Drosophila melanogaster: one gene and its partners. The protein of the gene in region 4 interacts with the protein of the main gene of each other region in a pairwise test. Each region holds a gene or a part of one and is shown on either strand. Other genes may lie near its edges. The genes, in order: Nf-YA, CG9705, CG14005 and zfh1.

Region 1 (8,089 bases), on a different chromosome or scaffold from region 4:
CTAATTGCGATTACTAAGGGCGCAAAACAGGTGGCCGCCAGGAGGGGGTGAAGGGAAAACAGGCAATCAAACAATAAAAGAGCGCATCAATAACAATACTCTTTGTGTGCGTGCCAAAAGGTGAGCAATTTCATAAAGCATACCAACAAACATTTATCTGATTTGTCACACCTGCCTGTTGGAACCGCATACTCATATAAGGGTTAATCTTATCAGAGGCCCACCGTTGTTGCCACCGCCTTTCAAATCAAATCAGACCGCTTTGCCATAGTAATGGTCTGGCAACAACAAATGAGTATCGCTACATGGAAATGTGCGCGTGTGTGTGAGAGACCAACAACAAAACAAGAAAACAAGCAAACGCACGAAGAAAGTTGTGAAAATTCAATTTTCCAATGGCCCAGTCTGATTGGGACTGCCTTGAAGCGTCCTCTAATCAGATAACTATCAATGTAAATGCGTAAATATCAACGCATATGCGTTGTATTTGTGGAAAATATTACGCTTTAACCACATATACACACACCCCCGCTTCCGGTGGGTGTTTTTTTTACGCTGGAGGGGGGAGGGTGGTTTACTCACCTATGCGCTGGCCAACTGGAGTGGAGAAAACATTTCCCAAGGCGCCAACGTTGAAAAATGAAGCCATCGTGGAGAAGTTTCTTATTAATGCTCGCCGTTGGGTTGCAGTGCGGTTAAAATTGTTCTTTATTTACTTTTTGTTCACCTGGATGAAATGTTTATGCACTTGTCTACAGCAGAGTGACCATGGCTGGCCTCAGCGAAAAATACCCACAAAGAAATGCATTACAATAAGTGGGTAAATAGGAATAGGTTTTTTTCCAGGGCTGCAGCATTTTATTTCATTTTATTTAAAAGAATTATCCACAGTTTTTGAGATAATGACATAGTTATACCCGTTACTCGTAGAGTAAAAGGGTTTATTAGATTCGTTGAAAAGTATGTAACAGGCAGACCATATAAAGTATATATATTCTTGATCAGGATCAGTAGCCGAGTCGATCTGGCGATGTCCGCCTGTCTGTACGTTTGAACGTCGAGATCTCAGGAACTATTTAAGCTAGAATGTTTAGATTAAGCGTGCAGATTCCAGAGACATAGACGCAGCCCAAGATTGTTGACCCATGTTTCCATGACCACTCCAACGCCCACATTAGATTGTTCTTAGTTTTATTGTTCACCTTGCACCTTGCACCTTTTGGATTGTAATCACACCCACATCTTTAAACAATTTTAATTTTTTCTCATTTTATTCGCAATCCGACTAGCTGAGTAACGGGTACCTCATAGTCATGGTTGTTCACAGAGCGTGTTATGTATCTCAAAAACTTTGTAATTTCAAAGAGTTATTTCACAATTCATTCCACAGATTTCGTGGATAATGAATTTTCGATTGTTCAACCTTGCACCTGTCTCAAAAATGAGCTTTCCGTCAGCGGTCCTTCTGACGGTACCGCTGGCGGTCCCACTGATGGTTCCGCTGATGGTCCCGTTGATAGCCCCACGGACGGTCCCCTTGACGGTTCCGCTGACGGTCCCTTCGATGGTTCCGCTGCCGGTCGTGCTGACGGCCCCGTCGACGGTCCGGCTGATGGTCCCTTCGACGGTCCCGCTGAGGGTTCCGCTGAGGATCCCGCTGAGAGTCCCACTGAATGGCATTGGAACGAACTCGTTGATGACCAATCCAATGACGGTCGCGCTGACGGTCCCGCTGACGGTAGCGCTGACGGTCTGGCTGAGGGTCCCGCTGAAGGCTCCTCTAGCGTTCCCGCTGACTTTCCCGCTGACGTTCCCGCTGACGTTCCCGCTGACGTTCGCGCTGACGCTAACGCTCCTGCTGACGGGCACGTCGTCGGTCTCGCTGTCAGTGATCTCCATGTCGACGGCCCAGATTTCCGAGGACAGTTCATAGGATTCGTCCTCTGAAAGAAGAGAACGTAGGGTATATTAGTGAGTGAGGCTTTGAGACTTATATTTTGATAGTCCCGACTTGGTTAGTCGGCTAAACTTCTCTGTTCCAAGACCCATAATCTTAAGCCCATTTAGATCTAACTATAAGTTGCATGATTCTTACAGAATATTGTGTTCTGACTATAATAGTCATTATCCTATTATCTGTAATCTTTGCTCTCTGCCGCTCTTAAAGCAATCAATCAAATCAATCGGTGCATTATTCACAAATACGACGCAAAATTTGTTTTTGGTTAGATTAAGGAATATATGAGTTAGCGGTTCCAACAGGCTGATAGGACAAATCATATGCCTCGCACGTAGGGTATAAACTGAGAAGAAACGTGTTTTTCCCCGGAATTCTTTGCGACACATACAGTTTGTCAAGAAACTGTTTACACACTGTGAAATAAGTTGAATTTTTGACTTTAAAGCTAAAAATAAAGGGTTTTTTGCTTAATTAAACGCAATTTTTTTATAAAATATAATTAAACAATATTTATTTTACTTATAAATCAAAAAACAAATTAAAAATATTAAATATACAAGAAAATAAACAACAAATTCCAAGTTTACACACTTTTGAGACTGTCAAGAAACTCTTTACACATTTTGTTTTCCTACTTTGTTTTGTTCTTTTTCTTAGAACGAACTCGATTTTTCCGTTATTTTTGGCTTTACATTGCTTTTTACAACGCTTCTATTGAAATTTGTTGACTTTGCTTGTGAAATTTTGCTGATCAAACGTGCTTAAAGCGAATTATTAAATTTAATAAAATGCCTGGAAAGAGATTAACTTTTGAAGTTACCCAATTAATAAACTATAACCACCAGTTGGGAAAATCTTTTCCAGAATTAGTATAAATGTTTCCTGTATCCCGTAAGACCGTCTACAATGTTTTAAAAGGCTCGGAAAAAGAGGGCAGGCTTGAACCTAAGAGTGGTGGTGGGCGGAAAATTAAAATTAAAAAGCGTGTAGACCGCTTTATTATGCGAATAGTGATTGCGAACCCCCGAATCTCGGTCAGATCACTTGCTCTGGATATCAGGCAAGAATGTCACCTAACTGTGTCACACGAAACTGTGCGCCAAGTCATCCTACGCCATAGGTACTCTTCAAGAGTTGCAAGGAAAAACCCTTTGCTATCAGATGCCAATATTGAAAAGCGTCATTTATTCGCTATGAGCATGATGGATCATGCGGAAGAGTACTGGGATGACGTCATATTTTGTGACAAAACAAATATGATGCTCTTTTATAACGACGGGCCAAGCAGAGTATGGCGCAAACCGTTGAGTGCGCTAGAAAAACAAAATATCATTCCAACAATAAAATTTGGAAAAATGTCACTGATGGTTTGGGGCTGTATCACCAGCCGTGGAGTGGGAAAACTAGCCTTAATTGAGAGCACAATAAATGCCGTGCAATATCTAGGAATTAAAAAAAAAAATTTGAAGGCCAGTGCAGAAAAATTTGGTCTAGTTAGCAACAACAAGCCAAATTTTATGTTTTACCAGGACATGATAAGAAACATAAAGAGTGCAATGTACGCACCTGGCGCCCTTATAACTGTGGTAAAGTGATCGATACGCCCCCTCAGAGTCCTGATCTGAACCCCATTGAAAATTTGTGGACCTACTTAAAGAAGAAGGTGGCAAAAAGGGACCTAAAACACAACAACAGCTTATGACTGTAATAGTCGAAGAGTGTGAAAAGATCCCGTTTGAATATGACCTGCAAAAACTTGTCCAATCCATGAAAAAAAGGCTTCAACTTGTAGCTAAAGCCAATGGGGAACATACTACATACCAAAACTTTTAAAATTTTAATAAAATAATTAAAAAATTTAGGTTTAAACTTCGATTTAGTGTTTTGTGTAAAGAGTTTCTTGACAGTCTCAAAAGTGTGTACACTTGGAATTTGTTGTTTATTTTCTTGTATATTTAATATTTTTAATTTGTTTTTTGATTTATAAGTAAAATAAATATTGTTTAATTATATTTTATAAAAAAATTGCGTTTAATTAAGCAAAAAACCCTTTATTTTTAGCTTTAAAGTCAAAAATTCAACTTATTTTACAGTGTGTAAACAGTTTCTTGACAAACTGTATGTATGTACACTTGCCACACTTTTTGGTGTTGTAATTATATCTTTCGGATCAGAAACCTCGCAATTTACGTGGCATTATAATTAAATATATTATTATTATTAAAATGTAACGAACATTATCCAAAATAAGATACAAATTGAAAAAAATACGGAGAACTAGAGTTCACTAAAATTATTAAAGGTTCCATAGGTTTCATACCTATGGCCCTAATATTGGAGGAAATATTTCCCATTGCGGTGGAGTTATTTATTATAGTTATTTTCACTGGTTATTTTATGTTATGGTATTTTCACTGGTGGAAGTACGGAGACTGAATGATATATGTTCTGCAGCCATGCAATATATATAAGTACAATTTATTAAATTTTTTAATCTAACATTGCTGTGGTGAGTATGGGGGTTGGGTCATAGCGTTTAGTATAAGTATTTTAAGTTAAGTACTTTTCTTGAGTGACATGGACTGGTAACATTAACATATGGCACAATATTTTAATTATTTTTACAAATAGCATTTAATTTTAAACTAGCATTAATTTCTTTTTATATTTTTGGATACCCCGTCAGAAGGACGAAAGCACCGGAAGGACAGAAGGACAGGAGTCATCGCCGGGGATAAATTGGAGTTTTGCAGCATTTAAATATAGCCGACTGTCCCACCCACTGTCCCTCCCACTGAAATCTTAATGTTGCAGATCTATTGCAGAAATCTTATTGTTAATAAAGCGGTTCATGACATGGATTGGTTGTGGTATTGGTACTAAAGAGGGCGGATCTTAAACTCCTCCCACTGTTATGTTATTATCTCAAAAACAGTGGAAAATTTTTAATGATTTTTTAATTTAATGAAATATTCCTGAAATGTCCTTAAGGTCTGAGGAGTTAAGGTTTGAGGAGGTCTAGCGTGCAAAATGTTGGGGAGCCGATTATTCTATCGCATTATTTTTTTACTTTCTTGAGCCCTATAAGTAGTACATAGATAGTTAGATCTGCCATTTTGAAACATTTTTGCATTTTTATTCTTGGGAATTTACTCCCAAATAACGTTAGCGCAAATTTATTAATTAATGTATTTATTAAATAAATTTATTATACTGATAACATATTAATATAGCAAAAAAAAATACGTTTTTGAATATATGTGCATTCTTTTTAAACTGCTGCACACATTTATTATTTTTTTGGACTCTTACAATACTTTTTCAAAAATTTTAAATATAACTGCGACTTTGAGCGATACTTTCACTTTTCCCGTGACGCCAACCGATATGCACAGCGCTTGCAGCCCTGGCCAATTTTGATGTGTTTCAGCATTGTACCCTGACAACCCTGCTCTGTAAAACTAGGAAAAACAGAAAATTTTATTTTCAATTGTTAAATATCCAAACGTAAACAGCCGGAAAATGTCACGACAAGCCTCTCGTTTGGACGCCAAGAAAGTGGTAAGTTGGCCAAAGAAGAGAGAACAGCGCAAGATCGGTATCGTTAGTCATTTGGAGGCATAGATCTAGTTGTAAGGTTAGATTTGTGCCATAGTGCCTAAGAACGAATCTTTGACGTGCCATCCACCCTCAAAATCGGCTTCATTCACTTTTCCAGTAAGTGTGTGTGTTGGGGGCTTGAGGTTGAGACACGGACACACAGACAGGCACAAGCCGACGTGCAATCAGGCAATGGAAAACCATTTCAGCGCCACCAGTCGCCCCTCAGCCACGCCCAGAATGTGCACCACCGCCTCTGCCGTCGGTGCTGCCGCCAGCGCCGCCGCCGCCGCCGGCAACAACAATAACAACAGCAATAGCAGCAGCAACAACAACGCAACAACCGGCAACAATTTAAGTGTTAGCACTGCAGCCGGAGGAGCCACAAATGCCGCAGCAACGGCACAACCCATCCAAGTGATACCAATGCCCATGCTGCCCACCGGAGCGGCGCAAATCATAATTGGCCAGCAGCCACAGGGTCAGGCGACGGCGACGGGTCTGCAGCCACAATTGATACCGCTGCAGGCCAACCAGATTATGCTGCAGGCTGCGCAGCAGCAGCCACAGATGCAGGTGATGCAGCTGCCCGATGGCCAGACTATATTCTATCAGACGCCCACCATTGCCGCCTTGGATCCGAATGCAGCGGCCAACGCCGCAGCTGCCATGGCAGCCCAGCCGACGCCGCACTACCTCAATATCAATGGGCAGCTGGTGCAGATCAATCCAGCACCGAGCGCTAATCAGGCGGCACCCACAGCTGGGCAACAGATTATAATGGTGCCGCAGACAGCGATGGCAGCGGTGAATGCAGCGGCCGCCAATGCCGGAGTAGGCGCCGGAGTGGGCACAGTGGTTACCCAACAACAACAGCAGCAGCATCAACAAGTACAATCCCAGACCCAAAACCAGCAGCAGCAGCAACAGCAGCAGACGGTGGCGGCGGTGGCTGCCAGTGCTGCAGTCAATAATATAAGCGCCGATGTCAGCACAAGTACAACTGGAACGAATACGAACAGCGAGGACGAGAGCTCCAAGGGCGAGGCGGACGAGGAGCCGCTCTATGTGAATGCCAAGCAGTACAAACGTATTCTCATTCGGCGGCAGGCCAGGGCCAAGCTAGAGTCGCGCATACCCAAGGAACGGTGCAAGTATCTGCACGAATCTCGTCATCGCCACGCCATGAATCGGGCTCGTGGCGAGGGTGGTCGCTTCCATTCGGCACAGGAGAAGGGCGACCAAGATTCGTCCGGCCCGGAAGGCGGCAGCATGCCAATGGCGTCCAGTGGCGGCGTCACCCTCAGCCGTGGCACGGCACGTGCTCCGCCCAAACTGATCGCGCCACATCAAACGCCCAGCATTACCATAACGGCGATCAAATCGGAATAGTCGCCTCCTAGCTGTAGGATACAAACTAGATAAGATTGTAGTCATAGCGTTTAGTCCTAAGCCAGTCGCTCTGTGTCCATTTGTCCTCAATCACACCACTTTAGTCGGCTCACATAGTTTTCATTTTTTTTTTTTTTCAAAATTAAGTCTTCATATATTATTTTCAAAGGGAATTTTTGGGTTTTTCTATTTATTTTCATTCACTTAGATTGGAAAAGTGATAAGTTCAAGAAAGAGATAATTGTTTTACTTATTATATTCATTTTCTAAATCGTTTCTAATTTCTAATATTTATTTTCTGTTAGCCAGCTGTTAAAAATTGTTTGTAATTATTAAATAGAGAATTTATTTCATTTACTAGACATTTTCAAAATTTACACAAGTAATGCAATTATTAATTTAGGGTTTATAGTTCATTTCAAAATGGAATGGGGAAAGGGCTGCCAATAGTCACCGCAAAACAACAGAGCTCAACAATATAAGATTCAACAAGGGTGAATGATATAGTCGCCTTCCCCGACTATCAGATACCCGTTACTCAGCTTTTGGAAATGCGAACTCGAAATTTCAAAAGTTCATAAATTTCAAACAAATTTTTTGGCAAATCGATAGAAGACTAATAAAATTATGAAAAAATATCCAAAAAATTTTCAAAAGTGTGGGAGTGGCAATTTTGTGCGGCTTGTGGGCGCTGCGTCGTGGTCTCTATCATTAACCTCAATATCAACCCTTTAGCGTTTATATTTCCTGAGATCTCTTTTAAACGGACAGACGGACATGGTTACATCGACTCGGCTACTGATTCCGATCAAAAATATATATACTTTATATGGTCGGAAACGCTTCCTTCTGCCTGTTACATACTTTTCAACGAATCTAGTATACTCTTTGAATCTACGAGTAACGGGTAAAGCACCATTGAGGACCATTTGCCGCATAATAAATGCAACACAGTTTATAAAATTAAAAAAAAAAAGCATATACATTTACTGCGGAACTCGTGAATGGCTACAGTTTTGTATATGGTACAGGCCTATAAAACGCTTTATTCTGGCTCTGGATTGATTTTTATTCGCTATCTGCTCTCTCCTCTCTTCCTCCTTTGTACAACAAACGAAAAATCAAAACACAGAACTC
Region 2 (8,159 bases), on a different chromosome or scaffold from region 4:
GGACGCGAGAGGAGGTGCGTGCCTATCTGGAAAACTCCCAGATTGGAGCATTGGGCCTCACCGACGAGGTTATCGAGAAGTACAACGCCAGCAGCTATGCGTCGCTGGTTTCTATCATTTCGGACATTCGCAGCGTTTGCCCGCTGCTGACGAATGCGAGACAGCAGCCCAGTGTGCCGTTCTATGTTGTCACCCAAGGCGAGGGACCCGATCAGCTGGCCACGGTGGACGCCGATGTCCAGGCCATTCTCGGCCGCTATGAGCCGCACACCGTAGAGCAGCGCCGCTTCGTTTCGGCCATGCAGCAGCTGTTCTACTACTATGTCTCGCACGGCACGGTGCAGTCGTTTGTCCAGAACCGCCGGGTCATCAATGTTGGCCAGGATGCGCAGCCGGAAGAGGACTACTTGCCCTGCAACTACTGGATCAGCAAGGATATTGTGCCGCGGTATGCGCGCGTCGATTAAGCAAACCAAAATCCCAACAGATAGGCCCTCGCTTCTAAACTTTTTCACCTGTATTGGTCCGCCTGGGATCGATTATCTCATTCGGCTTTGTTGCGCCTTCGGTTTCTATTAAACTTAAAGTTATCTGGAATATTTCGAAAATTTAAAAATACTTTAGCCATTGGATTTTTAAGTAATAATCGATTTCTTTAAATTTAATACGAACCGATTACCTAATCAAAGCTTAATACTTCCCGACTTCGTTTCGTGTTTAGTTTAGCATAAGTTAATCTAATGTTTATATATATATAAATATATGTGTAACGGATATTTAGTTCTCTTAAAGTTTAAGTTGAAAGTCTTAAGTTATGCTGACTCCATACGTTTCTTCATACGAGTACGTATTCTCTAATCTTAACATTAACGAACACATAAACACACAGACACAAACAGCAAAAACACAAATAAAACATCACAAAATATACAAAATTATACTTAAAAAGTATAGATCTGCGTCTTTCAACTATTCAACACACTAATCTATATACAATACTATAAACCATATACAACTTTATAGGAGTAAATGCCACAGAGGTTTTTGATTTACGAAAAAAAAAGAAAAAACCAGCAAACGACCAACGACGAACATTTTTTGATAGAATTTTACAAAACTCAAGACTCAAGAGAGAAGAAAACCGAATTCATAAACATTTACTTGGGCTTGGAAATGTCAGACTCGTTGCAAGTCTGAGATCGAAGGACTTTTCCAAAAGTTTGAAGTGTTGCAAACATTTCGAGACTGTCAGGAATGAATTTAGACATCTATTTAAACATTCGTTCATTTCCACATTTCATTTAGGAGTATCTATAATTACGCATATACATATATAAATCGGATATTGTATGGATAAAACATTTTTGTATAGCTTTATATGTATATTATTAATCGAACCAACATTTTCTATTGCTTTATACAAGACTTATCCACAACAGACTTTGAGCATTCACAAATTGAAATCAAAAATCAAAAACAAAAACATGGAGTACACACAATATAGAATTATGTTCAGATTAATCTTGTACGCGAACCTTAAGGTTGACAAATGTTTAATAAACGGAAATAATGAAAAATTTATAACTAATAACTTAGCTTAAAAGCTCGTTTATATCAGTAGTCACATATTTCACAGAAATTAGCTAAAAGAAAATTTTTTTTGGTTATTTTCACGGAAAACTAATGCACACATACATATATCATCGCATGGAACTGTTCACTTTGTAAACTCTACACTTATTGTCGGTGAGGGCGGCCAAATAGGATCCGGCCTGGGTAGCCACAGGGCAGATGTCGTAGATCACCTCGTTGACCGGCATTGTTTGCACTCGCTCCTCCCGCCGCACATCATGCATCATCAGCTGCTTACTATCCTGGAGATAGCCAACCACTAAGGTATTATCCTCGACGGCCAGTTGGGTCGGTCGCGTCATAACCGGTGTGGCCTTCGATCCATATATGGTGGCCTTGACCTTCAGCACCGGCGTTCCGTCAATCTTGTCCATTCGACCAAGTATGAAGCGAGACTGGGGGAAATTCGGATTGGATCGTGCCGATATGAGCACCGTGTCCTGCACGGCATCGTATTGCATGGACAGAAAGGGTCCCTCCACATTTAGCCGAGTGGGCACAGCCGTATCACTGGCCGCAGCGTACTCGTAGAATGTAAGGGCCGTAAGTTGGCAGACCAGGAAGCCACCGCTGGTAAAAATCTTATTGGGTTGCACAGGAGCTATGTGTATCACAGGACTTAAGTTCACTGTAGGGAATAAGTAAATGATTTAAGCGGGTATTAACGTTTGCATATTCATCACACTCACCTTCGGCTTGGAACTCGCAGAGAATGTTCTCGGGAAACCGCAAGTCGTAGATATAAACTCCACCTCGCAGATCTCCGCCGTATAGAAAGTGTTCGCGCTCGTTGCGATCCAGGGCGCAAGACCACAGCATCTTGTCATGAGCGGTGAACATAGACGAGCAAAGCCGTGTTCTTATGTCGAATATCTTGATCTTTAGTTCCCGACTGGCCACAGTGAGCAAGTGCTGTGAGTCACTAAAAGCAATGTCCCGGATTAGGAGTGCCGAGGTGTGCAGGAATTGCAGGGGCTTGAAGGTAGGTGGATCAATAAAGCGTACGCCGTAGCCGGGGAACAGGTTTTGGGCACTCTTTTGCGAGGCCACCAGCATGGAGTGCTTGGCGGAATAGAGCAATACACGGCAGCCGGGATCTCGAGTTATCTCGAAGTTCTTCTCCATGTACAATCGGTAGGTGGCTAGTTGTTGAATGCTCTTCTGGCCGGATGCATCGCCTCCGAAGGCTCCCCGACCACCACCTGCCCTCACCAGCTCCTTAAGCCGTTCGTAGTCCTTCTGCAGGAGAATCAGCTTCTCAGTGGTGAGTGTGTTAGCCAGCTTCGCGGTAGCCAGCTCTGTTGTTAGAGTATGTGTACGCCGCCGCTCCGCCTCCAGCTGCTCCCTAATATCCGTGTCCAGCATCTGAATGCGCTTCGCATACAGATGACGGATATCTCTAAATGTGGCCTTCGTCTTGCACTGCGGGCACACCTTCACAGAAGATTGGCGATGGCTTTCGTTTAACCACCGCCGAATGCAGCTTTCCCCAAAGAGGTGACCACATCGCAGCGAGACCAGTCGATGCTCGCCACTCATCTCCCAGGAATCCAGACAAATGGGACAGGTCATGCCATCGTCCTCGTCATCTACAACTATTGGTTTGCCCTCGGGCGACTTTTTAAGGCTTTTATCGGCAGCAGCGGAGAGACGTTTACGTTTCTTGGGCGGTGATGGCGTTTCTAATGAGATCACCTCCTGCTCTTCGCCTTGATTGCGGCGGGAATTTCTCGGGGGACTGGGCAAATGCGGAGGATCTACCAGAATTAAAGGCGGAACTCTCGGTTGCTCGGGTTCCGCGTTCTCACCAGGCTGGTCACGTTGTTCATCAATCTCAACCGCCGGCTGCAGACCTTCAACTGGATTGAGGATTACCTCATCATCACCAGAGCTATCATCTGTAGAGGTCTCATCGGCATAAACTTCCGGATCAAGAGCTTCGGTTTCATTCTCCATTCCTTGCAGCAGGATGTCTGAATTCCGCTTTCTCGCTTCAGACTGATCGCATTCCCTGCTGCCCGATGAGTATATTTCCGGATCCACGGCGCTGTCGCCTTTTGCGAAACCTTCGCTGTCCGTTTCACCTATATATGGTCTCAATCAAGTTTTCCTCTTGGAAAACATGAAAGTTCTTGTTATTATTTTATCTATTTCGCGACTTTCCTGCAATAGGACGCTAAATTTCAAGCTAGGGATGGTCAAGATCGAGATGCTTTAGTGATGGAACAACGGGGTGAAACTATCGAGTACTACATGTAAATAAATATATTTAAATATTCATTGTTAGTGTGGACAACATATTAGTCTGAACACATTTTTTTCGTATATCAAGCATATAAAAAAAGAATCTATATAAGAGTTGAGTGTTTGTGCGGAAAATGCAATTTTTTAATTGTTTAAAATAATTATAAATGCTTTCAATTAAATTTTCACATCTATTTATTCTACCAACAAGTTGGAGTAACTTGTAATTAATCCTGTTTGTTCGTTAAATTTGATTTTCAAATTTTATTCATGTTGCTATAAACATCGATTGCCAATTAGGCTAAGCGATAGGTTTTGGGATTTCTGGAACATTCCAAAACGTTCACTCTGAGGTCTGACTTTGACGCCTCCGCCGCCATTCGTTAAAAAACTGAAATTCTTAAAAAGCGCGCATCAAGCCGGTGTAATAATTGATAAAAAAGTTTAAAAAAATCCCAGATTCCAAAGTTGATAAAAGTCATACCGCGCAGGACTGATTTAGGGGGTACAAATAACATTGGCAACCGGCGTTTCGCACAGCGGTAAAATTTGCATCAGTGTGTGGGTGTTTCGCAAAAAAAAAAGAAGCTAAGCCAGGATTTTTGGATTGCCAATTATCAAGGTGCTAGGAAAGAGGGCGTGAAGTTGTCGGTAAGCTGACCGAGTACACGTGAATTAAGTGCAACGCAATTTGCTGACTGACTAACCCGCCCCCCGTGGCCTTGAACTCGACAGACTTGGCTGCCGTCCACTCACCCACAAACACACATACGCACATATATACACACGCGCAAGCCGCTTCTACTGTCTGAAGAGAGGAGAGGAAAAGAGCGAAGAAAGGGGAAGAACGCATAAATCGGCAAGTAAACGAGCAGTGTAAGAAAGCCATGACCGAACCAAGGACGCCCGAGAAGCTGCTGGCCGCCAAGCCGCCGGTTTTACACCACAACAGCCATAGTCCCAATGCCTCGCTGCAGCTGCCCAGTCCCATCATCACGAGGCGCACTCGCACGGCCTCGACGTAAGTCCTCCTGCACTGCCCTGCCCACCCAACCAGCAAAACCACCCACCCACTACTGGCCCCACACACACTTGACCCCAAGGGGAACTTGGCCCCTATGCAGAGCCTTTATGGGGCCAAATAGGCGCCGAAAGTTCACATTATTTCACAAGGTTCGCTCTTTTGTATGAAAACCAAATACAACCTTTTGAAATAGTAAAAGAATAGCATGGAAGCTTGTAATTTCTAAAGCAAAAGCTTTCTATAATGTTTTAAACTGCATTTGTTGAATTAGATGAGCAAACATAATGAAACAAACAGTAATTAGTAATCGAACATGGAACACTTTATTGGTTCCACATTTACATTTAATATATTTATTTTTATGTGTATATACTTATAAATATTTTTATAACCGTAAGGACCATTTTTTTTGAAAGTTTAAATTTGTAAACCCCATACTTTTTCAATTATTTCATTGTACATACATACATACATTCAGAAATCAGTCGCTGCCGAATTTATAAGCTCTCGGAACCCTTTCGAACATAATCCACGTACTTAAATTCTTCCCCCTCATATCCCCATGCGCATCCTCCATTGATTAACTTGTCTCTTCCTGCTTAATTCTTTTCCCAAACGCTGCCAAAACGCAAACACGCGCAAACTCAAAATAACGCTGAAAAAACATAGCTCCGCTCGGGCCTTGGAAAATCCGGTTGTGACCGGTATGGTGAAATCCTTCAGCCGCACCAAAGGACACGGCTTCATTACACCCAACGCCGGCGGAGAGGACGTTTTTTGCCACGTTTCCGAGTAAGTGAATGAATATTGCATGCGCGGCGACCTTTGCGCTGGCTCTGTAAGACCTACAAAAATGTAATCTTCCCACAGCATCGAAGGTGAATATGTGCCCATGCCCGGGGACGAGGTCAAATACCGTCTGTGCGCCATTCCGCCCAAGTATGAGAAGCACCAGGCCGTGCACGTGCAGATTAGCCACCTGACGCCGGAGGTGCACCACAAGTGGGAGGAGCCATTCTATGGTGGCTCCTCGCCCGCTAAGTAAAGCTGAAGCTTGTGGCCCTGGGAGATTTCGAAGCTCGGAAGCGGAAAAGTGTGTTGTTAAAAGCTGAACGGCCTTCCAAGAAATTTAATTGAGCTAGAGCACGCCACCCGAGATGAACGAAACGGAAAACCGGAACAGAACAATAACCATGAAAGTAAACGAAAGCACAGCAATCGAAGCAGCCAGGAAAAAGCCGAAACCAGACCAGAACGTAATAGAATGGAACAACAGGCCTGCCATCCAGCCAGCCAGCGAGCAGCATCACAAGAGTTTCAATTGAACACTTAATTAGAATTTAAGCTAAGCTATGGAAGTCAAACAAAACGCAGTCACAAATATTGCCTTTCCCTCTGGAAGAGGGGAGAGCAACCGCAACCAGTTTCGAGTATATTATTAAAAGCGCGTATGTATTTGGAAATTGAAATTGTTATTCGAGAAGCCACTAGCACAGCGCCTGCGATGCTGTGGTGCCCTGTATCAGTAATTACTTTTAATTATAACAAAACATCTGAATGTGTTCGCGAAGCAAACAAGCAAAATGCTCTCAGTAATTCACTTTATTATTAAAACAGCTGCAAAACAATTCCATCGGTGATTTTTCTGGAGTGGCGTGGGAGTTATCAGCATGGAGTGTGTATTGTACGCACAATTGCGGTCAGCATAATAGCCGCTTGCTTGTATGTGTTCTAATAAAATTTTATGCAAAATTATTAATCTTACGTTTTTATTACGGCATCTAAATGTTCATTTTAGATATTAGCTAATGTCTGATTGTAATATCACGATATTCATAACATGGCAAAATATTGTTTTAGCCGCAGCTGTAACTTGTATTTAATTTAGTGGTGTATCTTATCTGCAGTGAAAGCAGATACTTTTTGCAGCCCAAAGCATACATGAATTTTTGGCTCACTATTGAAAATATATTTCCTGCGTTCTGCAGAAAATCGAAACCGTAACATATTCAATAAAAAAAAACCAACCTTTTTGCCACAATAGATACCTAAAGATTTCCGCCCGCTAAATTTATCAAGTAGAGCCATAAATAGCCAAACCAACTCATACTCCTAAAATTATGGATTTCCATTTCGTAAGTCTCCCGCCACTCAGTTTGAATTTCGAATGATTAGTGTGACCATGCGGCGGTTTATAGCAACTGCATGCGTAGTGCGACAGAGAGTTGCTATAAAAATATATTGGAACGTCAACAAACATATGCCACGAAAGAAAATATTCCGATTCAACGGAAAATGAATTAATTAAAGACCGAACTGGCAGATATTCAGAAAGCCATTCGATCGTACATTTAACCAAATTAAAGGCATCGAGGGAATTGTATCGGGAAAATACGTAAAAAGCTCTACATTTGAGTGACGTGGTGTTATTTGTTGGTGATTAGAAAAACAGGTGAGCCTGTGGCCCCCAAACTAGCATGTCTTTATAATATATACCTATCGCTATTTGATCAGCATGTCCGCCATAAGGAGAAAGCCAACGGGCAGCAATGCCGACCAGGAGTTGCTCATCGACGAGCCACCAAAGTCGGAAAAGGTGGCGGAGCACCAGAAACCAGATATTCGTGGAGACCGGAGGAATATAGCCATACTGCTGTTCCTGTACGTTCTACAGGGCATTCCCATCGGGCTCATAGCAGCCATACCAATGTTGCTGCAAAATAGAGGAGCTAGCTACAAACAACAGGCGGAGTTTTCATTCGCCTACTGGCCATTCAGCTTAAAGCTGCTGTGGGCTCCAATTGTGGATTCCCTGTACATCCGGCGATTTGGACGCCGGAAATCGTGGCTAGTCCCAGTGCAATACCTTCTGGGAGCCTTTATGTTACTCCTCTCCCTCCACGTGGATCGCTGGCTGGGCGGGAACGGTGTCGATCCCAATGTGCCGCTCCTGACGCTGCTCTTCTTCCTGCTTAACTTCCTGGCTGCCACTCAGGACATCGCCGTGGATGGCTGGGCCTTGACCATGCTGAAGCGATGCAATGTTGGATACGCATCCACCTGCAATAGCGTGGGCCAAACAGCTGGCTACTTCTTGGGCTATGTGGTGTTCATTGCCCTGGAGTCCAAGGATTTCTGCAACACCTACATAAGAGACGTGCCACTCGAGGATGGCATGATCACATTGCCCCGTTTCCTTTGGTTCTGGGGCATTACATTTGTGGTAGCCACTACTTTGGTGGCAATTTTCAAGAAGGAG
Region 3 (7,476 bases), on a different chromosome or scaffold from region 4:
ACTGACGGAACTGACGGTTTTGCGTGCCCAATTGTTAAAGGAAGTTGGATAAACATTTTGTTGCCCTACAGTTGTCATGACAAAGCTGACTGCCCCATTTCATATTTGGCCTAAACAAGAGAAACTGGCAACACAACACAGCGCATGATGAGCACATTAACAAAATGTAGTAAAATAGGAAAGCAAAAGATATTAATGCCAATTAGTGGAAGTTTTGAATAACTTTGAACTTCAATGCGTGACAGAGAAAGTTCAGTTAAGGAACGAAAAAAAAAATCCTAAAATTTTAATTTAAGTTTTGTTCTTAAACCAAACTTTTTTAGATATCATGATAGATATCTTTTTCTCTTAACATAAGATGTACGTTACAACTGACTGATTTCTAAGGTCTGGGTCTTGGAAAGTGTAAAACGTAAACCAAAACCAAATGAACAAAACTGCTTATTTGCGGTTAACCACAACACGGCAATTCAATACCGATAAGGAATCCAGGAAAAGGCTTACGAACTTGCTAACCCAAGTGGACTACAAAACCTCACGCCTTTTCTTATATAAATTTGATAGAAACTAAATTACTTATTTATATAAAAATATTTAAATATTGGAATTTATATATGTTAAAGTAAATAAAGAAACTAAAAGTGTATATAGCGTAGATTTGGTTACACGTTTAAAAACGGGTTTCTTGTCAACCAGTGTAATAAATGCTGTTGCTCAAGATGATTCAGTTGTCTCCATGACAAACAAAATTTGTGTAAATGCATATGTGAGCTTTGAAGTTACGTCACTTGTAGGTGGGTGACCCCCTGGGGGTGTCATTTGTATTTCAGAAGTCACCAAGCGACGTATGGATTTTTCAGGTCAAAAGGGGCAGAGGAAAAATTAAAGAAATAATAATTTCAATTTATGTTAAAAAACTTAAAATGCACAAGAGGGTATTTCTAGCAAAGAGAAATTCACCAGAACTTATTCATCCTAAAAAGCATTTTTAATCTGGGAAAAACTATTTTACACTGTTTATTTATCGAAAAGCTTTGAAGTGCATAGGCAGAAATCAGCCTTCTGGAATTTTCTTGGCAACGATTATAAACTTCCGCTTGAATCTTGTGTATTAGATTGTTTCTCTCGCTATTTATCTAAAAACCAGACATCTTTCCGAGCTAATCGCATCCAAGGTCCTATGTTCTACGTAATCCCAACACCGCAATGCGTTGGTATCGCCTTAAATTTACCAAGTCCCTTACTATAGTTTCTTATCTACAATATGCGACATCAGATACCAGATACTGAGCTCTGTGATGCAGAAAACTGCTCTGCTTGTTTTACTATACAAATATTCGCAATTATTGAGAAAAACATTTGTTTAGTTCAGTTATCGTTTGATTACCCAGAAAATGATCGAATCATACTAATGGTGTAAATAAGCACGTGTTTATCAAGTATAAATATTTAATAATAGGGCGAAACACATGGAACTAAACGCGCAAACTGTCGTATAATTGGCAAATATTTTATTAATAAACAGCAACACAACAAGTTAAGTAGATCGTGTTAAATTGCCCGTTCGAACCACTTCGCAGCGAAATGTTGATTTTTTATGTACAGCTCATGTCTATTTTTATACAACTTAAGATCCATGTACTTAATAAATTGCATAGAATTGTCAGATAACAATAAAAAGACAGTAGTGCTTATAACAATGTGGAATACACAATTACCTAATACACTTCCTCCTATATTTAGCTTTTTTCGACACCTCCAAGTTCTTTTTTAATAGTCGTGCGCATAAATTAAGTTATATATTTTCGAGTGTTTGCTAAGTGACAATATTTAGCCACAAACGACGAGAAGATTTATGTGGACTCCGGCGATTTAATGAGCTGTTTTTAAAGAAAACAAATGCCAAACAAATTTTTAATGGGCTAACAAATGTGTTGTTAATGTGAAAATTAAATCGCGATTGGAAAATGGAACTCATCAAATTGGCAATTAACCAAAACGATTAATTTCAGTTCTCTGCCTGCGAATAAAATGGAACTTGTTATGATTTTCCCATAGATTCGATAATGATTGCCAAGAATGTTATCAATCTTATCATTCAAGTGGTATAGAACCGCATGATTAGCGCTCAAGGAAAACCCCATAAATGACGACAATCATGGGAAATTTTAAACAAATTATGGTAACATTATAAACCTTAAAAATTGTACTTGATGTAGTTACGAAGTTGGTCTGATATGAGTAGCAAATTTCATAAAAAAAAAGGCGGAAGACGAAAAAAAAAGGGGCGAACAATAGCGCCAGTTAGGCATGATGTATAAAATAAACTTTTACAATTGTTAAATATTATTATCGCACTTACATCACACACACAGCGAGGAGATTTTCGATTTTTGTGCTGCTGCTGATGATGATTTAGATAATTTCTTTATTTCGATATTTGCTGGTGGCCGCACGAATTTGAAATTTGATTTCTTTTGATTTGGCTTTGTGTTTCGTATTTTGTTGATTTTTTGGCTGCTCTTTTGGGCGAAACGAAAAGAAATCGCGCTAATATTTCTGCTCTACCTGCTGTTTGTTGTTGCTGTCGCCTCGCTATGCTTTGCTTTGCTGACCGTTTTCTATGAATGAAAGAGGCGCTGGGCAAAAGCAACAACTGCAACAAAACAGTAAAAAAAAGACGTGAGAGGCGTGACGCGACAGCAGAGAAAAAAACCGAATTAATGATGGGAGGGGGGGGGGGGGGTTAGGCGGGGCAAAGCGAAATGTAACGAAACGGGTTTTCACATAGTTTGTAGCCCAGTGTTGTGGCCCTGGAGAAAGAGAAACGGAGGAGACACGCAAAACAGAACGAGAAACTTTTACACTGGCCAACAAACAGTGTGAGAAGGCGTATGGGTGCGGGGGGTGAGGTAGGGAGAGGCGCGGCAGGGCTCAGCTGATTGTGATTGGGATTTTCGGGCATGCCACATGCAGCGGCGGCAACAGCAGCAACAACAATAACAGCCTCCCACTCTCGCGCTCTCTCACTCGCTCGCTCTCTTTGCTGCAAATCGAATTTTTTGTTGTTTATTTAGGTGACGCTCGCACACATTGGCAAACATTTCAATCCGTGTGTGCTGCACACTTGTTTTTCCTTCTTTAGCCCCGATTCCACGGCAATTTGTGCACTTCGCTGCCGTTCGTTTGTTTTATCCCAATCTTAATCTTTATTTTTATCCCAGACTGGCGGCTGGCTGGCTTTCTCCGCACCGCACAAGCACACACACTCGATACAATCGCACACACCTTGATGCGCTCCTTTGGCGAGCCACTCATTTGATTTAAAGGCCTTTTCCGATTGGCACGCGCGTCCGCCACCCGCACACACGCGAAAAACACGACCGTTTCGCTCGAAGTCTCGAAATCGAAAAAGTGGAAAAGCCTACAAAAAGTCTGTGGCATTTCGGTTGGCAGAGAGCGCATTGTGCGCTAAGAGAGCGACTAAGAGAGGTCCGCATGCGGTGTTTGCGGATATTTTCACATTCCGGCTACGGCCACACTGCTGCAGCAGGGGTTGATGAACAAATAACCGGCGGTTGTTGCACACGCTAAGTTGATCGAAATGCAAAACTTAATAGGCTATTCACACTGATTTCATTTGAATTTATGTTTGATTTCGTTACTATTATATCAACAAGATATTCTGTAACAATAGAAATAATAGTATAGTCTATATAGTATAGTATATATATATAGTATAATAGTCTTTCATCTAATTTATTTTTTAGCCAGTTGTTTAGTTTTAGTTTTTTTTTTAAAAATGTAGCTACCATACAAGTTCGCCTCAAGACAATGTTTTTAATTTAAGACTAAAGACCGTATAGATTGATCTTTTGCACAGACGATTGTTCATACACATTACACTTATGACGCTAGAAAAAGAACGTTTGAGAAATTATAATATCTTCGGTTCGCTATGCTGCTGCTTTGTACGTCGAGTGAATTAGACATCTGTGTCTGAGAAAGGAACGAATTGAAAAACATACACAGGGTCGAGCGCCGCGACTCTATTCCCAACTTAAAGCTAAAGCTGTCATACAATGTCCTTACCACGTGGTGCTAGTAGTCGGGATCATGGTTCCAGCTTGATGGTCGTTTGCTTTATTAACGCCAGCACTGCCTCCTGCCGCTCCATATACGCCAGAAAGTTATGTTTCATGTCCAGGAACTGCTTCTCCTTGCGCACGAGCGACTGCAGACAGGCGTCGTTCTGCTGCTCGAGCAAACTGTTCTCCTTGCGCAGCGCCTCCACTATTGCCATTGTGATCTTGCCCGAGTGCGGCAGTATACTACGTCGCCCTCGTCTCCTTTTGCTCGCCGAACGTTCGGCGTCCGTCTGGCCACCGTTGGTGTGGCCTCCATATGGCGCATCCTCTGCCTCGGGCAGGATGTGGTTGGCAGGCGTGAGAGGCGACCGCTGAATGACACTTTCGGCAGTAGCTCTCTCCAGGTAGTGGCTAGCCGCGTTTTCCAGCTGCGTCACTGTGGGCTTGTATTCAATATTCACCAGCTGGTGGTGTTCGTCTGGCAGAGGCTCTGTCTTCACTACTGCGGGAACTAGGGGCTGGGCATCGAGGAAGGTGCATCCCTCTGAGTCGCGCTCAAATTTTAGCTGGGCGGGCGAAGTGTATAGCAGTGGCGGCAGGGCGGGCAAATCCACACGTGCTGTCGCACGGATCGTCTCCAGCACATTGCGGAAATGGAAGAGGGCGGACGACGGCCAGGCAGGACAGAAGAGGCAATCGATCAGCGCGTAGAGACGCCAATCCTTCGCGAAGTTCGCATTGCCCCCCACGCGATTGCGATCGTTCCTGCAGAGAAGTGGAAGGAGATATTAGCACTGTGAACTGACCCGAGCCGCTGCTGCGCCTCACAAATACTTGTTGCGGTAGCTGTTGATGCGCCGGCGAGCCTCCTGCTTATTGAGCCGAACTCCGTTCTGCTGCAGGCCGTGCGCGATTTCCCGGAAAATGGGCAGGTTGTCCGTGTAGGAGGGTATGGCATGCAGGTGCTCGCGCCACAGCCGCAGTAGCATGGCCTCCTCCAGCGACGTGTAGTAGCGCAATCGCAGGTGCTTCTGGCCGCTCATATTCCGGTCTAATTTCAATTTTGTGGAATCGTTATAATCCAAACATTTTCGTACGTGACCAAGGACCAGGCGTGGAAATACCAATAACGCTTGAGCGCGGCAGGCGCCAAAAAATACCATCAATGATTTAAATTTTCTTATAGAGCTATTGAAATCTGGAAAAGATATATCTAATATCTTAATAATTTTATTTCTTAATATTGGACTAGCCCCAAAGCCATTCTCCCAGCTGTAGTATATACATGATACTGATATGGTACTAAATGAAATTTATTATATTACTTATTTCAGGAAATTCGCTCAGGAATCTAGGCATTTTCGGCGTTCTCGCGCCGCAAGGTCACACTCTTCTGTGTATCAGAGCTGTTGTTGATTTTTTGTGCGGAAAAACTGCACTTGGCTTCAACCATTCTACCACAGCGTCGCATTGTGTAACTAGAGTGGAGATCGCATATCCAAAGGCAACGTTACAGGGATACATCTGCGGGAGCAGATCAGGAGCCGGTGCAGAGCAGTCGATGGACTACGAGAAGCTGGCGTTGAACGCGGGCGGAAGCGGCAGCGGTGCCGAGCAGGACTTAGGCATGTGCGGTGGTCAGGAGCTGCTCGATGGCAGGGGCAAGGAGAAGGCGCGTCGCTACTGGACGCCCAGCGAGGAGGAGCGCCTGTACGAGATCTGGGGACGCGACAACTGGCGCCTGACGCGCACCGGCAAGAACACCATCTTCTTTGGCCGGTGGGCCGAGGAACTGCGCGACCGGTTCGCCGTGGACGTGAAGCCCGAGGAGATCCAGATGAAGGTCAACCAGACCAGGGCCAAGTTCAGGTAGGTAACCGTTTAGACACTTTGCTATACCGGATTAACTGACTGGTTTCCCTTTTAAGGCAAGTCAAAAAACAGCTGCAGGCGGATCCTTCGAGCTATGCTACGCGCTGGAAGAAGTACGACATTATCAATCGCATCCTGAAGAACCTGCACAGGCCCAAGAACGCCGATCCGCTGCCGCCAGAGGCGCTGCTCAACAACCGCGACATGACACCGCCCCGGGATGATGCGTCCGCAGAGCAGTTGCAGCAGCAGCCACAGCAGCAATCCGTTCAGCAGCAGCAGCAGCAAGGCTTGGGACTGGCCAGTGAGCCAAGCACTGCCACCTATTACAATAGCAGCAGCAATAGCAATCACGGCAGCAGCCACAACAACAACACCAGCGGCGGAGTTAGCTTCAACACGGAGCTGTTTACGGACCAGTATGACGAGGTGGTCAAGCAGGAGTACGAGGACGATGAGTACCGCTCCATTCCCTTTCAGGAGCAGTTGCAACAGTATTCCCCAGCCGAGCCGGCTCAGCTGCTCGAGCTGCAGACGCCACAGCAGCAGCAACAACTGCAGCAGCAGCAGCAACAACAGCAGCAGTTCCAAACAAACTATGAGTCGCAATTTCAGCAGCAGCCGGCTCAATTCAATAACAACAGCGTTATTAGCACTGCGGCCACATCGACCGTCAACCATCAGCCCATAACGGCGGTAGCCTATATCAATAGCAGCAATAACACCATCAGCGTGGCCACAAACGCAAACGGAGGCATGCCAGCGCCGGTGCCCGCACAGGTATCGGCATCGGTTCCGGCTGCAGCTCCAGTTTCGACCACCAACAACGCCGTCGTTGGCGCCTCCCCCGTCCCTGTGCCACGGAAGCGCGGTCGTCCATTCGGATCTGTGAATCCCCCACACGCAGACTCGCTGGAGGCGCTCTACATGGAGGAAGTTCGGCGAAAGAACCAGCTGCTCTACGAACAAACCAAGATATGTCGGCAGCGACTGGAGCTGGAGGAACGCAAGGTCGACCTCATGCAGACCTTCTTCCCCAAGTGTCTTGAGCAGCAGGCGCAGATTCTGAGCCACGTCCTTCAGCTGCAGAAGCAGCATCAGCATCCTACGGCCCAGCGGCCGCAGTGAACTCCTTTTCCGACTTTTCATAACCTCAATTTTGGACCGCAGTGCACGAACACTGGTTTTCAGATACTGGATTGCTGCAACATGCCGCTTCGCAGGCTGATCGGTGCCACGAAACTTAACAAAAAACATGCAAAACTGTTTGTAAGATTAAAAAGTAAACTTAAATAATAAATATATTTAAATAACGAAAATCGCTGGATTATTGCTTTTTTTTTATCGATTTTCGAGTTTTGAAACCGAAGGGTTATATTTTCACAATCGATTTCTGCAAAGTTATATAATAATATTATTTGGAGCAAAGAATTTTATAATTATTTAATAGAAAAATAACTTAAAATCGAGGCACTGAGCACCAAATGTAAAATAACATTTTAAGATTAAACAGCGC
Region 4 (8,524 bases):
TAGAACTACAAAAGCCGAACCACAAAATCAGTGCCATACAACGCACACGTGCCCAAATATTTCCAATATATCTACCCTCTCTTTCCCGCAAGGACCTTTTCCAGCTGCTTTTCTTTTTGTGAATGAAAATGGGCACGGGGTTTAAGGCTGTGCACAGACATTCAAATGCAGTTCGAAACAAAAGTCAACAATTGACAGTTATGAAAACAGATAACGATGATCGCTCTGACAACGTTTACGACGTTGATGATGATGTTGTTCGGGTTGTCAAGGATAACAGTTGCTGTTGGCACACTTCAAGGATCAACTGAAAGGATAAGAGGAGAAAGAAAGCAGGCAAGCGGGGCGCTAGTGTGAGTCAATCAAATTGTCTTATTAAATAGTTCACTAAAAATTTGAATAACTATAAACCTTAAGGTTAGCTATTAATGATTTTCGACATTTTATTAATTGCCTAAATTAGTGGCAACTGTAACCCTCGCTGCTTATAATATTTCATTATTTCCAAGACAATAACCAATCAGTTTACGCTGCTTTCCACGAAAATCAAACCAGGAATCGCACTTTGCGCCTGGAACGAGCACTTTTCACGAGGGGGAAAATCTTCCCACACGAGAACCACACACTTGACTAAAACCACCGCCCCAATCAAGTTCTAACCCTTGAAAAATAGAAGGGGGAAAATGGGGCTCAGACCGCTGTACATGCATTTTGGGGACGATGAGGAAATTTGACATTTCCCCGCCGCCACTTAAATGTCACATAAAGTGTTAAACGAAATGAGGCAAAGGCGGCCGCAGAACAGAGGACACTTGAGATTTCGATTCCGATGCCGAGAGTCCGATGTTTGTGGCGACCCCAAAAATGTGCATCACTCTGCACCACCGAGGCCAGCACCAGCAGCACCACCACCACCACCACCACACCACACCACTTTCTATGCCATATAGAACCACCACATTCTGAAAAGTATTTACGCTGTCATTACTTTTCGGTTCGGTTTCGAATTGAATTGGTTTCGGGTTCTTTTGTTTTTCGGGGCCGCGCAAAGTTTACTGCTAATTAAAAATTGTGGAAAAACGAGAAACATGCATGCAATTCAATCCCAAGGAGTGTGGGAATGCGATGACCCATCTGGAGATCTGAGATTTACAGCAAACACCCCGAAAAGGATTGCCTTTTCCCAGAGTCCTTTGCTTCATCTTCTCGTCGATCCGACGATTGTAAAGTGAAATTAATTGATTCCTCCGTCGATGACGTCAATGCGGAACCATCGAAAGTACTTAGCTAACTCTATTTTATGTGGGTACCAGCAGCGGTGGGTGAGAATTTCCAAAGTCGTGGAAGCCCAAGCTAGTAGCAATCGGAAAATGATCGACAAATCCAATTTAAATAAAGAACCTACAGTGGGTGTTGCCTTCGAGAGCCTGGGAAGAAAATCCTTGAGTGCGAATGCGGGACGTGGTAATTGAAGGTACTCGCCATTGAACTCGGATGCATTTCGATTCGGATGTGTGTCAATTAAGTGGTTAATGAGGGCAACTCCTGGGGGAACAGGAACAGGAAGTGCTGGGAAACAGCAATCGTCCTGATCCTGATTAAAAATATATACTTATGAAGGCGGATTAAGATCTACAAAACTCGGGGAGGTACGAGCTCATTGCAAGAGATGAATTATTTTCAAGTCCAGACATAAATATCTATTCTGATTCATTCTCGCATATATCTTATTGAGTCATTTTCCCACTTCATCAGCCTCCAATTTTCCCTGGGGCTTTTCCGCCAATCGAACGAGCGCAACAGGTGCAACCGATGGACGACCAATGTGCGCACCTTGCTCGCTTCTCATTAAACACCCACGCCACCTCACACAGATACTCAACACACGCGCACGCGAGTGAACGGCAACTAATTAACATACAAAATGAATGCGAGGCAACAAAAAAAAAGCGGCCTCTCCGGCGGCTATCTCTCTCTCCCTCTCTCTCGCTTGCACCGCCGGCGCTCTCTTTCCCGCTCATGGCAGTACGTTTCAAGTGAGAAAATTATGAAGCTCCACCTATTTTACACTTACACACACGTAGCGACCGCGTTTGTGAGTGTATGGGTGTGTGAGGGAGAAGGGGGAACACATGTTAACCGCATTAAAAATTAATGTACAAATTGTTTATTATGTTGTCGAGTCCGCCTTTTGTTTTTGCTTTTTATCAAAGAGAGCATGTTTCGCTTTTTTTTTCGATAACACAATTTCTGTTACCATAAATATCTTTTTATCCATTTATACTTTTAGTTTTCAAATCTATATGTTTCTTTGAGCAGCAAAATATAAAGTACAAAAAAAGCAACATCCCAAGGGGCCGCCAAAACTTGTTGATGGAGCCAAAGAATCAAGCCACTCGCATTCTGCTCTCTTCGTTAGAATTCTTCGGTTGTCCGGGATCTCTTGGATCTCTGTTCTTCTGTCATTTTGTAGACGTGTCCATTGATGGACATTCTCAAGAACTCGCCCATCAGCAAACGATGTCATTAATGTGTGGCAATCGCGGAACGATTTCGGTATTTCTTACTCGGAAATCGCAGCAGAGGAAATTTTGCAATCGCAAGTGCAAATGATTTTGTCCGTTAACGCAGCGATGTGGCCAGGAAAGGGTTAAGGGATTCCCTGGAAAAAAGAAATCCCCTTTATCTCGCACCGCCAAATTTACCCGAAAGAAAAACGATCGAAAGCTTTCTTGAGTGGGGAATTAATCATAGCGATATGCATACATATGTGTGTAATTCCCACACGGGGAATATTTTGTCATAAACTTGATTTACCGGAAAGACTTAAAAAATTATAATACAAGTATATAATTAAACTATCTTATTGCTGTTCAATTCTGGGAATTTCAGATAATTCCTATTTATTGTTGAGTATTAAACTGTTTATTAAAAATATTTCCTAATTATAACAATTAAATATGTAAATCACTTAAGCTCTACACTTTAATATTGATACCCAGCAGCACAGAGTATTAATAAAATAACACCGAAATAAATTTGACGGTTGGCGGAAAAGTTAATGGAAAGACTCATAAGTCGCTTTATCAATAAAAACGAAATTTTGTGCAAATGTTAATATAGTCAAATCCCGCATAACGGCCATATGTTTACGAGCAGCACGATGAACAAAAGAGGCCACCCTTACGTAGTGCTTACGTCACGGGATAACCGAGAGGAGCGGCACTAACAGCGCTTAACATTTACGATATGCGATAACAGAGAGCTGTTATGTTAAGAATGAAGCGCTCTCGCTTCTCTGGCACCACCACCAACACACCACCCATCAGAGCATTAGAGCACCAACCACACTACCCCCGCCCGAATCACCTCGTACATCGGAACGGTGAACCGTTACACCGTTATATTATGCTGGTGGTGGCACGGAGCACACACACAAACAGCGCCGCCCTCTCTCACTCGCTCTCCGTGGAAACGTAGAACCCCGCCGTATCGCCCTCGCCCGAAACTCACAGTTCGCATCCGACGGATTCGGTAGAGGACGTCGGTCTCTGTTTCGTTCTCGGATTTGGCTTGATGCTTCGAAACTTAGAACTCTGAATTCAGTTGCATCGTAGACGTCGCGACGGCAGCACACGCGTCGCTCACCCACAGAGAAAACTCTGAGCAGCACACAGTAGAATCACGCAGATATAGAACGCAGATCAGTGAAATCGCCCACAAAATAAAAACAAACGCGACACTCGCAGCGGCGCATCGCGAAGAAAAATCCCAGTGTTTCCCATGTTCGAAAGATAAAAAACCCAAGGCCCTTGCCCAAATGGCCGCCACAACACGTGTGTGCTCTATAAGAAAGAAATAACGCCGAGCCCAGAAGAACCCACTAGCCAACTAGCCAACTAGCCAAACAAACTATCCGCATCAAAGTAGAGCAAGTGTTGCAACAAGCATTCCAAATGTTGTCCTGTCTGGCGCCGTCGTCTTCACGTTTCGGCCAAGAGGATACCATCATTCAGCAGAGCATGCCCTCCACCTCCCCCTTCGCCATGCAGTGTAAGTGATCAGAACGCGGATCTGGAGCACAGATCTCGGGTGATTCATCCGCAAACCGCCTCCATTATCACCAATCAGCCGTGCCATAGAACTTTGTGTTCAAGTGATTCGCGCGCCAAGACTCGGTAGCTTCGATTTGAAGATCCCCACATGCAAGCTTAGCAGTTTCCCAGAAACCATCCGCCATCTTGGGTATATGTGTGGTCTCCACCTTCAGGGGATCATAAGAATGAGTAGCTATAGAAAAACAAACTCATAAACGGCGAGTAAGGATCGAGGCAGGTCTCGAATTACCATTACCTACTCCTACGCAGAGAACGGGCTCCGGTTCTCAAAAAGGAGAGAGCGAGCCCGAAACCGAAAAAGTTTGCCCGATCAGCACACTGAGAGAAAACTGGGTCACTTTGTGCAACTTCTATACGCTTTGAGAACTTAAAGAACTTATTGTTGTTCAACTATAATCATTCGCTGGTTTTCAGCTACGAAAGTCCTTTTCCATGAGCTAAAACTACAATATAGTTAAAATTAGTACGGTTTAACATGGCAGATCATTCGATTTCTTATATCTATTGGTCATATCACGCTCTTCACACATGAAAGTCGGCCAGTCGATCTTGAATAATGGCATTATTCCCTGCATTGCATAGCATAGCCACCTCTCTGTTCCTCCCAGTGGCCGACCAATTGCAGCCACATCTCAATTTGATTTGTTGGCACCGCCGAAACAGCACCGCCGCCTTGCCAGTAATCTCCACCCACCGAGAACCAGGTAGAGCTACCCCTGACCAGGAAAACCGCATGCGCAGGCTGAAACAGCAGACGACAGGTAGCTAACTTGGCCAACACCATTACCGCGATGCCGCACCTCCATTTAAGAACCTGTTTTATGGCCATATTGCTGGTCGCTTGCCACTCTGTTTATCGAGTGTAAACAAAGCATAAAACTGTCAGTGGGCAGAGCTCATCGGTTGAAATGGAAGGTGTGAGAAAGAGCCGAAATTAATTGAAAACGCTTAGTTGGGGAGCATTGGGGATGGCGCAATGCTGGGGAAACGCCCACGATTCGTTCGGTGCTCCACTCCTCCGACTCTGACAATTGATAAGCCAGCTAAAGAGACGGATTAATTGCACATGTTCGGTGGAAACGGTTGAAACGGTGGCAACACCGCTGCCATAAATTATAATTTATGGCTATTTAAGCAGCTCCGTTCTCTGTGGGCGGAACTAAAAGCCCTCGAACACGATAGTTTGGCTAATCGATCAGAGATGGCTGCGCACAGGTTGGCCCACATATCTTCGATCCATATACTTTCCGCTTGTTTTCCGTCTCTTCCCTGGGCAAACCGAGCTGCTTGATGGCGCTGGGCAGCTGCGACTGCGATGGATATTAATCGCCGGCTACATACGAAATGCTGTTCGCTGGGCTTTTGGAAAAGCCGGGGGAAAACGCCAGCCAGCCAGCCAGCTAGTCAGCCAGCCAGCTAGTCAAGTTGTACTAATTTTCCGGCTGCTCGGCGTGTGTTGTGTCGCATTTCGAAACGGCTCCAAAATGCCGTAAATCAAAGATTTCGCCCTGGCGAAAACCTGTCGCCTGTTATCACCTTCGACTACGCCCCTTAGCTAAATATACTCTAAATATACTCTATGTATAAATCAGCGCCAATTTCCATTCCCATTTTCGCCCATCGAAGCCCTGAGCAGAAATTAAACATTTATCTGACATTTGCATCTTCGATTGGGAATACCTACCTAGTGTGTGTGTTCCACCAGCAACAAGATTGCCTCCTGTCTAATTAATCATTTTGGCTGCTGTCAGTGGATGTCAGTTTTATATGCTGGTGCTGTCGGTGCTGCCATTTATAACTCCTGGCCGGCTCATCCTGCATCTTTCACCGGGCACAGGACTCTGCCCCGTCAGCTGGTAATCGAAATTAAACAAACTTGGCCCCACAAACTATCTGGCAACTGGCATGCAAAGATGATTAATTTTGCCGATGCCTATCTCAAGTGGAGTTGGAGACTTCGGCCCGACTTTGCCCAAAATAAACAGACTGTGTCTTTAAATTGCAATTGAGCCAGGCTACAGAGCAAAAAAAAAAAAGGAAGCTCCCCATTTGCAACCAGCACAAAAGGACAATAAATCAATGAGGGGAAAGTCCTCTTTGATATCCTGCTGCAGATTCCCTTTATTCCGTGTTCAACCTGCCGCAGCTTTGGGCAAATTATTTGCCACATTTTACTTTTATTTCGCATTTTGGCCAAAAAGTAAATTGTTTGCCAATATTTTTTGCTGCTCGCTTTTTGCCGCCGTCGTGCACACAATTGAAACAAAGATAACTTTGAAACAGTTGTAAAGTGAAAATTGCACGGAATGCAGCCCGCCTCCTTGCGAATATATTTTTTCTTATTTATTTAATGCCCGCCGCTCTCCACGAGACAACAATTGCTACCCGTGCTATCCCCCGAAAAAAAAGTGCCAAAAAATCGGCGCAAACAAAAGGGTGCCCCCTGCCACCCAACCCTTGCAACACCCCCTTAAAAAAGGTGTTGCCAAAGGGCAGGCAAAATTGCAGCGCCAAAGAGGAGGCTCTAAAAAAAAAGGAGTGAGCAGGCACAATTTAACATGTAAACGATTTTGGTTAACGGGTGCTGGCATTGAGAAAAACCGGAGTGGAAAACCCAGGGAAAGCCATGAAATTGGCGAGTGGAGAGGGTTCAGAAGGGCACTTCCCTTCTGATTGGCGTTCAATTGCAATAAATTTCGCACAATTGCACAATAATTGTTAAAAGTTTTAAATAAACAAAAATAGTCAACAGCTCTATTGTGGTAGCGCCAACTGAAAAAGTTTCAATTGCACTCGATGGGCTTTATTTCGGAGTTGTTTTTTTTTCGAGCGCGTACAATTTATACACGAGTCGAGAGGACCAAGTGAATATCAATTAGCCAAGTTAAGCCCAACTTTGGTTGTACTTGCTGAATTAATGAAGTACGTTTCAACTGGCTGAAGCTTCGGTTTTTGGTATTCAGTTTGGTATTTATATATATGTAAATTAATATGCCAATTTTTAAATAACTCATAACTATTGCTATTCTGACAAATGTAATCGTTAAAGTATTTCAGAGATCTCTTTAAAATGGCGAATTTAGTTTGTGCGTTATTAAGATTTTTCGAATATTATTCAAACTAATTAAAGTAACTATTTCGCTCCCTTTGAGGAACAAGATGCCAAAGTATCTCATGGATGGCCGGGCATATTTCCTTCACGATTTCCCCTGCTTTGAACACCTCTGCGGCATATTTCTCTAATTGCTTTCGGCTCGCCAACGCATTGCAACTCCAATTTCAGAGCGTAGAACGCCCACACCACGACATCACACGCGTTTCTGCATATTTTTTCAAGGTAAATCGCAGAAATAGTTCGCCCCGGGACACATATGTTTCCCTACCCTCCAGATAGACCTACTATATATGTACATATGTACAATATGTACATTTGTGCAGATGCAGGGAAAAAAGGACAGGGACACGAACGCGGACACGGCTCGCTTGGCTATTAAAATTTCACACTCAGCAAAGCAAAATGCTACAAATAAAATAAACGTGGCAGCAGCAACTAGCAACTAGCAACGTGCAACGTGCAACATGCAGCAGGCAGCAAGCAGCAAGCAGCAAGCAGCACGCAGCATCAGCTTGCTGAACAAACAAATAAAGCAGAAAGGGCAGAAAGGAGAACTCTATTTATAGGCGATCGTCTGGCTCCGAATCTGCACCTTTGCATTTGCCACTTGAAGGGGCACAACGTGGCCACCTTTGTGCCCATTCGAAAGTGGAGAGTAGACCAGGGCAAAGGTGCGACACTGAAAGAAACCGTCACTTTAAAGTCCGTTTTTTTTTTTTGGAAGGAGTGGAGTGCAGGGCAGAAACCCCTTCATATATATTTTGTATCTTTCGCTGGCAATTGTTCTCAGTGCACGGATCTCTAGGTAGGCAAGCCCTCGAAAGGGCATTCCAAATTTAGAGCGATTATCGGGACAACTCCACATGCCGCTCACATGTGTGGCTGTGCCCAAAGCCGATTGCCACTTGAGATCGGACTTGGACCCTCCTGGAATTCCAATACGATTCGATTCGATTCGGTTCGAGACGGGTTCGTTCTCCACTCGATTGCGGCCATAAATATTCGCACGTCTGAAACTCGACGAGGCAAACAACTGAGCCGTAAACCTTCCCACAGGTTTTCATTTACAAATTAATTGCGACTGTCTGATAGTGTCGTTTTTCGCATTTCCCCCTTATTTTTTTATTATTTTTTTTTTTTTTGTGTTTTGTTTTTCCACTGGCAATTAGCTAGCTCTGTACTAAGTGTTTTTGCACTCGCTCTCATTTGCAGGCAATTTATATCATAAATATGCTAACCACGTTCATTGACTGCAAATGAGCGCAGGCCCGGAGGTCTGTTTATAATTAAG

What was found.
Region 1: the proteins of zfh1 (region 4) and Nf-YA interact in a two-hybrid assay, tested with the Drosophila melanogaster proteins (one large-scale study listed by BioGRID).
Region 2: the proteins of zfh1 (region 4) and CG9705 interact in a two-hybrid assay, tested with the Drosophila melanogaster proteins (one large-scale study listed by BioGRID).
Region 3: the proteins of zfh1 (region 4) and CG14005 interact in a two-hybrid assay, tested with the Drosophila melanogaster proteins (one large-scale study listed by BioGRID).

The regions. Positions count from the first base shown.
Region 1 is NT_037436.4:9,439,556-9,447,644, reverse strand, and holds Nf-YA (nuclear factor Y-box A), read left to right. Parts: upstream 1-5,377; 5' UTR 5,378-5,482; coding exon of another isoform or gene 5,483-5,521; intron 5,522-5,678; 5' UTR 5,679-5,752; coding exon 5,753-6,952; 3' UTR 6,953-7,589; downstream 7,590-8,089. Other genes in the region: CG3529 (uncharacterized protein), read right to left, coding at 583-649; Srg3 (Sting-regulated gene 3), read right to left, coding at 1,360-1,943, 4,281-4,314; Bet3 (blocked early in transport 3), read left to right, coding at 5,483-5,521, 8,085-8,089.
Region 2 is NT_037436.4:16,775,894-16,784,052, forward strand, and holds CG9705 (uncharacterized protein), read left to right. Parts: upstream 1-4,206; 5' UTR 4,207-4,527; exon of another isoform or gene 4,528-4,611; 5' UTR 4,612-4,763; coding exon 4,764-4,897; intron 4,898-5,569; coding exon 5,570-5,692; intron 5,693-5,770; coding exon 5,771-5,945; 3' UTR 5,946-6,526; downstream 6,527-8,159. Other genes in the region: Nrt (neurotactin), read left to right, coding at 1-467; mus302 (mutagen-sensitive 302), read right to left, coding at 1,701-2,260, 2,322-3,588; CG9706 (uncharacterized protein), read left to right, coding at 7,416-8,159.
Region 3 is NT_033779.5:5,796,756-5,804,231, forward strand, and holds CG14005 (uncharacterized protein), read right to left. Parts: upstream 5,221-7,476; 5' UTR 5,132-5,220; coding exon 4,917-5,131; intron 4,854-4,916; coding exon 4,115-4,853; 3' UTR 3,762-4,114; downstream 1-3,761. Other genes in the region: CG7239 (uncharacterized protein), read left to right, coding at 5,650-5,957, 6,017-7,088.
Region 4 is NT_033777.3:30,762,328-30,770,851, forward strand, and holds the start of zfh1 (Zn finger homeodomain 1), read left to right. Parts: upstream 1-3,598; 5' UTR 3,599-3,956; coding exon 3,957-4,053; intron 4,054-8,524. UniProt on the Drosophila melanogaster protein: Involved in the development of the embryonic central nervous system, embryonic mesoderm and adult musculature.